Alligator mississippiensis: one gene and its partner. The protein of the gene in region 1 purifies or fractionates together with the protein of each later gene. This does not show direct contact. Links are inferred from orthologs where the notes say so. Each region holds a gene or a part of one and is shown on either strand. Other genes may lie near its edges.

Evidence for each region.
Region 2: the proteins of AKAP7 (region 1) and PRKACB purify together in Homo sapiens (affinity purification with mass spectrometry; 4 studies listed by BioGRID and IntAct, counting the BioPlex papers as one, with this or other methods). This does not show direct contact. The link is inferred for Alligator mississippiensis from reciprocal best matches to the Homo sapiens genes AKAP7 and PRKACB.

Annotation. Positions count from the first base shown.
Region 1 is NC_081824.1:113,910,432-113,914,352, reverse strand, and holds the start of AKAP7 (A-kinase anchoring protein 7), read right to left. Parts: upstream 2,156-3,921; 5' UTR 2,019-2,155; coding exon 1,973-2,018; intron 1-1,972. UniProt on the Homo sapiens protein: Probably targets cAMP-dependent protein kinase (PKA) to the cellular membrane or cytoskeletal structures.
Region 2 is NC_081828.1:27,867,913-27,871,833, forward strand, and holds the start of PRKACB (cAMP-dependent protein kinase catalytic subunit beta), read left to right. Parts: upstream 1-1,036; 5' UTR 1,037-1,051; coding exon 1,052-1,238; intron 1,239-3,921. UniProt on the Homo sapiens protein: Mediates cAMP-dependent signaling triggered by receptor binding to GPCRs.

The DNA of each region.
Region 1 (3,921 bases):
ATCTGACACAAAATTTATGAGAATAAAAGTGTTTCTGGAGAGGTAAGGCAGACTTAAAACAGGCAGGAGTTAGTTATTCAGTTCCCTCCGCTCACCCAGACCTCAATTTGTTAATAAGGATGGGGCAAGAGACCACGTAGTTTAATGTGTTAGTCTGAAGTCAAATAGAAGGCAAGATAGATTTGCACCTTATAGACTAACCTTATATACTAATCTATATCTACACCTACTGTATTTATTTGATTCGAAGACAAGGTTCCCCCCATACCATTTAATATGGGAGAAGGGGGGAAAGGCCCTTGTCTTGGAACCCATTACAAGGGGGCAGGACACCGGGGCTAGGCAGCTGCTGTGATTCTCTGTTGGGACCACAGCCATGGCTGCTGTCTGCCCCCGCTGGCTCTATACACCCTGGTCCCCACTTACCATCTGCCACCGCCTGACTGCTTTGCCCACTGCAGTGGTGCTGAGGACAAAATTAAGATGACGCTCCACTAATAAGATTCTATACATGGAAAAATTATAACAAAGTAACACATTTTCTATGTCTAGAATCTAATTATTGGTGGAGGACTGTCTTAAATTCAGGATTGTCTTGGATCTGGGTAAGTATGGTATAGATCTATATCTATGCCTATACTTATGTCTACTTCAGTATCTCTCTTTTTTAGAGAGAGAAAGATCTGCACCTACTTTGGTTAGTAGATACCAAAGTGGTTATAGCTATAGCTCTAACCATATACATATACATACACATATATAGCTATAACCACTTCGGTATCTACTAACCAAAGTAGATTGAGCACCACTGCTTTAGCTAATCACAACTCTTCTACTTTTCAAGTGCTTGTCATCTCCTTTCCTACTACTTGGGGGCCTGGATCCCACATCAGTTCTCATAGCCAGTGGTAGAACTTTTTATTATTTAAGCATTAACTTCACTTTAGGCATTAAGGCATTACTGGCAAGGGCAGATCATAACAAAGTTTTCTCTCTCTCTTTTAACTGTTACTTTATGAAATCAAATTGTGACAATACTAAAAGTGTCTGATATAGACACACACTTTTAGTATTGCCACAATTTGATTTCATAAAGTAACAGTTAAAATACACACACATACACATACACTCATATGGACATATCTATACTTTAGTCGGTAGATTGATCCATTGATCGATCTTTTGATAGATAGTTATACCCATACTTCGGTAGGTAGATAGACAGATAGCTCTATATTTAGACAGACTTAGATATGCAGGTATGTAGGTAGGCAGATCTATACTTTGATTGGTAGGCAGGCTTATTAGATAAATATAACTATACTTTGGTAAACAGGGACAGCGGTGCTTTGGTAGACAGACAGGCTGATCTATACTTTGGCAGATGGCAGACAGACAGAACAACTAATTGACGAAGCAGCACTTGGGCTGGATGGTAGGTAGGTCAGAGGACACTTTGGTTGGTAGATAGGTAGATCAGTAGACAGACAGATCACCAGACACATACAAACATATTTCGGTTGACAGACAGACAGGCCGAGCTATACTTTGGCAGGCAGATAAAGCAGATGGACAGACAGACCGCTCGATGGATAGTCTGGCAGGCAGGTGGGTCAGCAGCTGGATCGCTACAGCTCTCGTTTGCTAGATCCACACGGACTCTCTGGTAGGCAGAGACATTGCTCTGTAGTCGGGTAGGCGACAGACAGACAGACAGACACTTGGGCAGATCGGGGGTGGGCAGGGCAGGCACAGCCAGACCGATCTCTACGGTGGCAGACGAGCCGAGCAGACAGACCGGGAGACACGCCCACGTGCGGTCTCCAGGCAGAACAGCCTCCGATATGCGGCGGTGGGACCCGGGGGCGGAGCCTTCCCTCCAGCCCCCTAGGGCGGTGATGTCATGGGGCTCCGCCCCTCCGCCTGCGCATGCGCCTTGGGAGTTACCCTCCCCACCCTCTCCTCTCCTCACCCTGCGACGGCGGCGGCGAAGGTGGCTCCTCCCGCGGCAGCGCCATGGCTCGGGCCGGGCCCAGCACGCGGCCGGCCTCCCGCAGCGCCCCACCCCCACTGCACGGCGGCGCCCGCGGGCCCGGGGCCCAGAGCGGGAAGAGCCGGAGCAGCGCCCCCCGTCGCGCCAGGAACAGCCGCAGCGGCAGCAGCATGTCCCGCCCCACCCCGCCCAGCTCCGCTACGGCGCGGCACAGGGGCCAGAAGGGCCGCCCCGCACCCGGGACCGGCTTCCGCGCCTTTCACCCCGGGGTGCGTTTAGTGATCTGGTGTCCCTGTCCTGACATGCTGCCTGCCCAGTATGCTGTTCTGCTTTCCCTTCCCAGTGTGATCCACTGCTCCACTTCCTGCTGCCTGCTGTCTCTGCTGCCTGCCCAGTCTGCTGCTCAGCTTTTTACTCCCTGCCCCCACCCCTCTCTGGCTCCTGACCCATAGCAGGCTGCCACCCAGGTTGCCTGTTGGCCACCTCTGCCTCTACAGTGCCAGGTTTGGGTTTGATGGGGTGGCTTAAAAAAAGAAAAGGCATTTCCAAATAGGCGGTTAGGGCAAGGAGTTCACTTTTATTTTGGGGTACAGGGTGGCCAGGATGCCTTGGGGTGAAATCTTGTATTGGGTCCGTTCCTGCTTCGGGGAATCTCGGATTTTGAAATGGGGCAAAAGGGGGTTGAGGGAGATGGGCAGATGGTGTGGTGTATTGTCACATATAAGCACAACACAACACTTTTTTCCCCAGGTAAGGGGAAGAAGCTAGAAGTGTTATTGATATCCTAGGGGCCTGGGGCTGTATTATTCCAGGTTAAGATGAAAGCAAAAACAAACCTAACTTCACTGACGTGCATTCATTTGCTGTGTCACATATTATATATTAAAAAGCTCAGCGGAAATAATCAGAAGATGTTGTTTCTTTAGTCTTGTAGTCATTAAGAATTAAAAGTATCTCAGAGCCATAAAACAAAATCAAGCCTTTATGAGCATCTTGATGGTGCATCTGGTGCTTCAACTGAACGTTATTTCCATGCCTGAGTTAATGTTCTCCTGAATTCATGTTTCCATACCTGAGCTACTGTTTTTAGGTAGAGTCCAAGCCGTCCACAGTGCTATGAAGTAGTAGCTACACTACCAGGAGCAGCTAGAGATGACAGAATTGCAGATGAAAGGGTAGCTTGCTTTGTGGACTATTAAGATGGCTAATAAAGGGTCACTAACCCCTGTGGAGTGAAGGATTTAGAATGGGGAGGTAAAATATGGGCCGCAGGCCAGATCCAACATGCCAACTGATTGGACCCAGCCTGTGGCTGCCCCTGTGGTGCTCCAGATGGGGCTGAGCTGTGACTGGGCCAGCCTGTGCTTCACTCCAGCCCCAGGCCAGGCCAGCATGCGCAGCTTCCCACAGGGCTAATCCAGATGTGGCTACAGCCACATGGGTGCTGCTCAGCCTCTAGCAGTGGCTCCTCCTATTGCTGTGCTGCCCCGAGCAGGAAGCAAGCTTCAGTCGGGTGGAGTGGGTGGAAGTCAGCCGGATCCCTGCATGCTGGGGCAGGAGCTGCCTGGCTGAAGCTTCCTCCCCACCTGGAGCAGTGCAGTCAGTGTAGGAGGAAGAGCTGCAGCTGGAGGTGAGGGGAGCCAAGCTGCACCCAGGCAGCTGCAGGCCCCAGCAAGCTGTGCACTCTGGCCAGGGCTGCACTAGTGGGCACAGTCTGGAGCACTGTGCAGGCTGCCCTGGGCAGGGTTCAGCCCCATGCAGAGTGCCATGAGGGCAGCCACAGACCATACTGCCCAGGCAAGCTCTGCTGCATCTATCCCATGCCCTTCCTCATCCCCCGCCCACCAGCCAGCTCCCAGGATCTAGCTCCCAAAAAGCTTTCCCCCTCACCACACACAGGTGCACGCACCCCCCCACACACACCTACC
Region 2 (3,921 bases), on another chromosome or scaffold:
GAGCTGATTTTGGGAAAGGAGGTGTGGATTGTATTGGAAAATACATGGTAATACATTTTAGATTTTTATCAGTTTTCTGTTTTTTGATCCTTTAAGGATTGTAGTTTCAAAAGTTATTCTACAACCTTTTATAACCTGAAAAATGAGAATTCATATAATCTCACTACTCTTGGAGCTGGAGCTCCAATATTATGAGGTAGTTTGGTGATTGGGATCTTGTGTCTATCCATTCATGTACATTGGGAGCTGGATGGGGGGAGCAATGTATCATGTATCCATTAGTAAGGCCCAGAATCCACTAGCAGCAGTCATCCAGTGTAGTTTTTTTACTCCATAAGTGACCTCATTCACAACTTGGTTTTTGCAGCAGGGTAAAACTAGAAGGTGTAAGCAGTAGCTTTGTAGAATCTTGTTCATGTGGGCAGAGGAAATGATCAGTATTTTACTTCAGTCTGGCCTTCCTAAACAAAAAGAAGAAAATGGTGCTTTTAATACATACCATCAGTTATTTTTAACACTTAGAAAATGTGAAAATGTGGACACCATAGCTTAATATAATCAATTAACTATAATATATGATTCTGGTAAGACTGCATCTTAATCCTGTGAGGGAAATGGAAAACTTGTCCTTTGTCTTTTTCCTGTAATTCATTTATTTTTAGATACATGGATAATAACCAGTTTTTTTAAATATTACCTGGTTTCTGATTTTTGTCTCTGTCATAAGGCAGACTGTATATTTTAATTATTTCATCATATTTTTAGTTTTTAAAAAAGCTGTTGAACTCCAAGTTTAAGAAAAATATTAACAGCTCTTCTAATCATCACCTTCAGCTGATAGGAAGAGGTTTTTGCTAAGAAAAGCTCCATAATGTGCAGTTTAATATTAACAGGAAGTAGAACAGAAGTAGTGGTTTCAAAACACTGCATACAGGAAGTTTGACACATGCATACTTCTTAGCTTCTGTGTAAGTTGTTCAGCTCCTTTTAGATGTTTTGTGTTGGTTTTTTTTCTGGTTTTTTTTTTAAAGTAAGTTGTCAATGTATATAGATGGCAAGTCAGAAGGAACTGGCTTGTAACCAGTGCACAGGAACAACTACAGCTCTACAGAGACTGGAAGGCTTTGCTAATCGACTTTTTCATAGGCAATCTAGGGGTGCTGTTCATGAACAGAAAGTGGCTCTGGAAGATGAGAGCCATCATTTCTCTGAATTCACTGCCTTGTGGGACAGATCAAGTAAGTGCTTTTAGACACTTGAGGTTCATTTTGCATAGTAGTATGAGGAAATTTGCAAACAAACATAAATATGCAGTATAGAAACTACCATATAATGCAGCAATCTTTTCATAGCTTAACAGTTAGAAATACTACTTTAAAGAAATAGATATTTTATCATGCAGGTGGAAACATGGCATTGTTTCAAAATATTGGGTTTTGGGGAGGAGAGTTAGTTGCTTGCAAATTCCCTTTTCTTCTAGGCAAATGTTGTTGACTTGCTGGAATTTTTTGCAAACTTTTTTTCTTTCTGGCATTTGTTTGTCATTTCTTTCTTTAAGATGTAAATTTGCAAGCAATAATTGATAGCTTTCCTGTTTTAAAAAATGTTCAGGTGTGTTTTGGTGTTTAAGGTAGGATTTTTTTTTAATTCTGAAATTTTGGAAAGGAAGGACATTATTTTATGTTGATTGGGTCATTAAGTAGAGGGACACTTGTCCCTTGTAGTGCAGCTTTATTTTTAACTGAAATTTAAAATTCATTTTAGAGTGCTTATTAAAACATTAAACATCAAAGCAGTTCAGTGATTATTATTATTACAGATTGTTTCACTCAACTTTGATTTATAACTTTGATTATTGATACTGTTATTTCATAATTGTTCATTTGTACTGAGAAAGGGGTGTATTTATCTGTGTTACATAAAATGTGCTTGATTAAAATGCACAAAACTTGATTCCAACAAACATCATCAGTTAAGTAAAAATAATGCTGCTACTTTGTACATATTTACTTAAATTATTTGTTATTAGAAATGTACATACTTATCTTTCATCCCCATATTTCTGAAGAAGTGAAGGTGAGATCTTTTAAAGATTTCATAGTCCTAGTAAATTATAATGACATAAGTCTAGCTCTTACATACTTGCTTCTATACAATACTTTTGTATATAATTAAGCATGTATATCTGCTCAATATTACTTTATTGTAAGTAATGAATCATAATCTACACATTTTATATATTGCAATATGGTCATGGCATTTAATTTCATATCTGAATTTGCAATGAGTTGGAATAACGCAAGCAGTTACTTCTATTGAAAATAACAGACATAAGCAAAATGTGTGCACTTCCTAGTATTATAAGATCTCTGCAGAAAAACATGCCTGTTGTGAAGCTAAAACGTTGTCATTAGTGAGTGGTCCAACCTTAAAGGGTGTATATTAAACATGGAAAGTGGAAGGTGTTTCATATACCTACACTAGATGCAATCTATGTTTCCTACCTGAGGTACAGAGAAAGCACCTGGTTTTATGAGACAGTCAGCCATCAAGGAGAGTAAAGGGGAAACTGCATTAGGGAAACTGCATGACTTGAGACCCCTGAAACATTTCAGCGCAGCTTTATACATAATTTGTAAACGTATTTTTTCCTTTTCACATCAATTTTAATGGGTTTCTTTAAAATGGAACTTTTCCCTCTCTGTTATTGCACATACGTGAAAGGCCTGGTTAGAGATGTATGGGGTTGGAGGTGGCTCAACAGCACTAGTTCTCAATATTTTTAGACTCAAGGTACCTCTTGGGCAATACCCTACTCTTGGCTTTTGTTTGGGTTTATTTTTGGGGGGGGGCGGGTTGACTGCAGAAAAATAACAGCAATTCTGTCGCAAAGAACTCAGACCACAATATGTCAGAATGTTTCTTATTCGAATTCTTGGGTTTATCGTGTAGATTGTGTGTAGATGTTTGCACCCTTAACAGTGCTAATACTGAGCAGCACCCCATGATATGCTTAAAAGGATCCTGTGGTATTCTGAGATTGGCTTAACCTTTTTGCACTGCAGGCCAAATGGGCAGTGCCTGGTCTGTCCACAGAGACAAGGGGACATGGCCAGCTGTGCAGAGGGCAGGGGTGTGGTCTGGCCCCTATCCAGCTGTACATGGGAGAGTGAGGGAAGGGAAGGTGGGGTGGCCCAGCCATGATCCAGCTTGATCCAAATCCTGGACAGGCTCCAGTCTGGCTGCTCATGGCTAGCCTTGCCAAATTTCCCAACCCTTGGGGAGCCTTGCAGGCCTGATGCCATGTCTGCAGACCAAGGTTGGCCTGTGGGCTGGGGGTTGAGCGCCCCTGCTCTACAGGAACCATGCTTCTATTGAGCAAGGGAAGCAGTGGGGAGACTTACGGCATTGATTCTAGCGTCTGAGTTCTCTAGGGCAGGCAGAATCCTGATATTTTTTTAGATGGAAGGATAGTCTTGTCATTAATGCAGAAAAATTGGGAATGAAAAAAGATAGGTCCATTTTGGGCTGCACCATGAATTTTACATGGGAATAACTACGTCATTTAAACACTTTCCTGCTTTCCTTGTGAGGCTTAGTTTGCTAATGTATTTGGTAGGCTCAGATGCTCTGGAGATAAGTATAAAGCCCTATCTGCTTGACAGAAGAGAAGATTTGGAGAGAGATGGTCTAGAATATAATGAAGCGTTGAGCCCTAAGATCCCTAAACATTTCTGTATCCTAGTCCACGAAATCTACATGTTTTCACACCTTGACAGGGGGTGGAGAGGAGCGGAAATACATTCAGGAGGCACAATTTAAAGTTTTCAAGAAGTTGTCCTAATGTTTACAAGACTGAAAAATACTGTAGCACTGTCCTTTGTTCAACTGTATAATAAAAACCAAAACTAAGTATTGGCC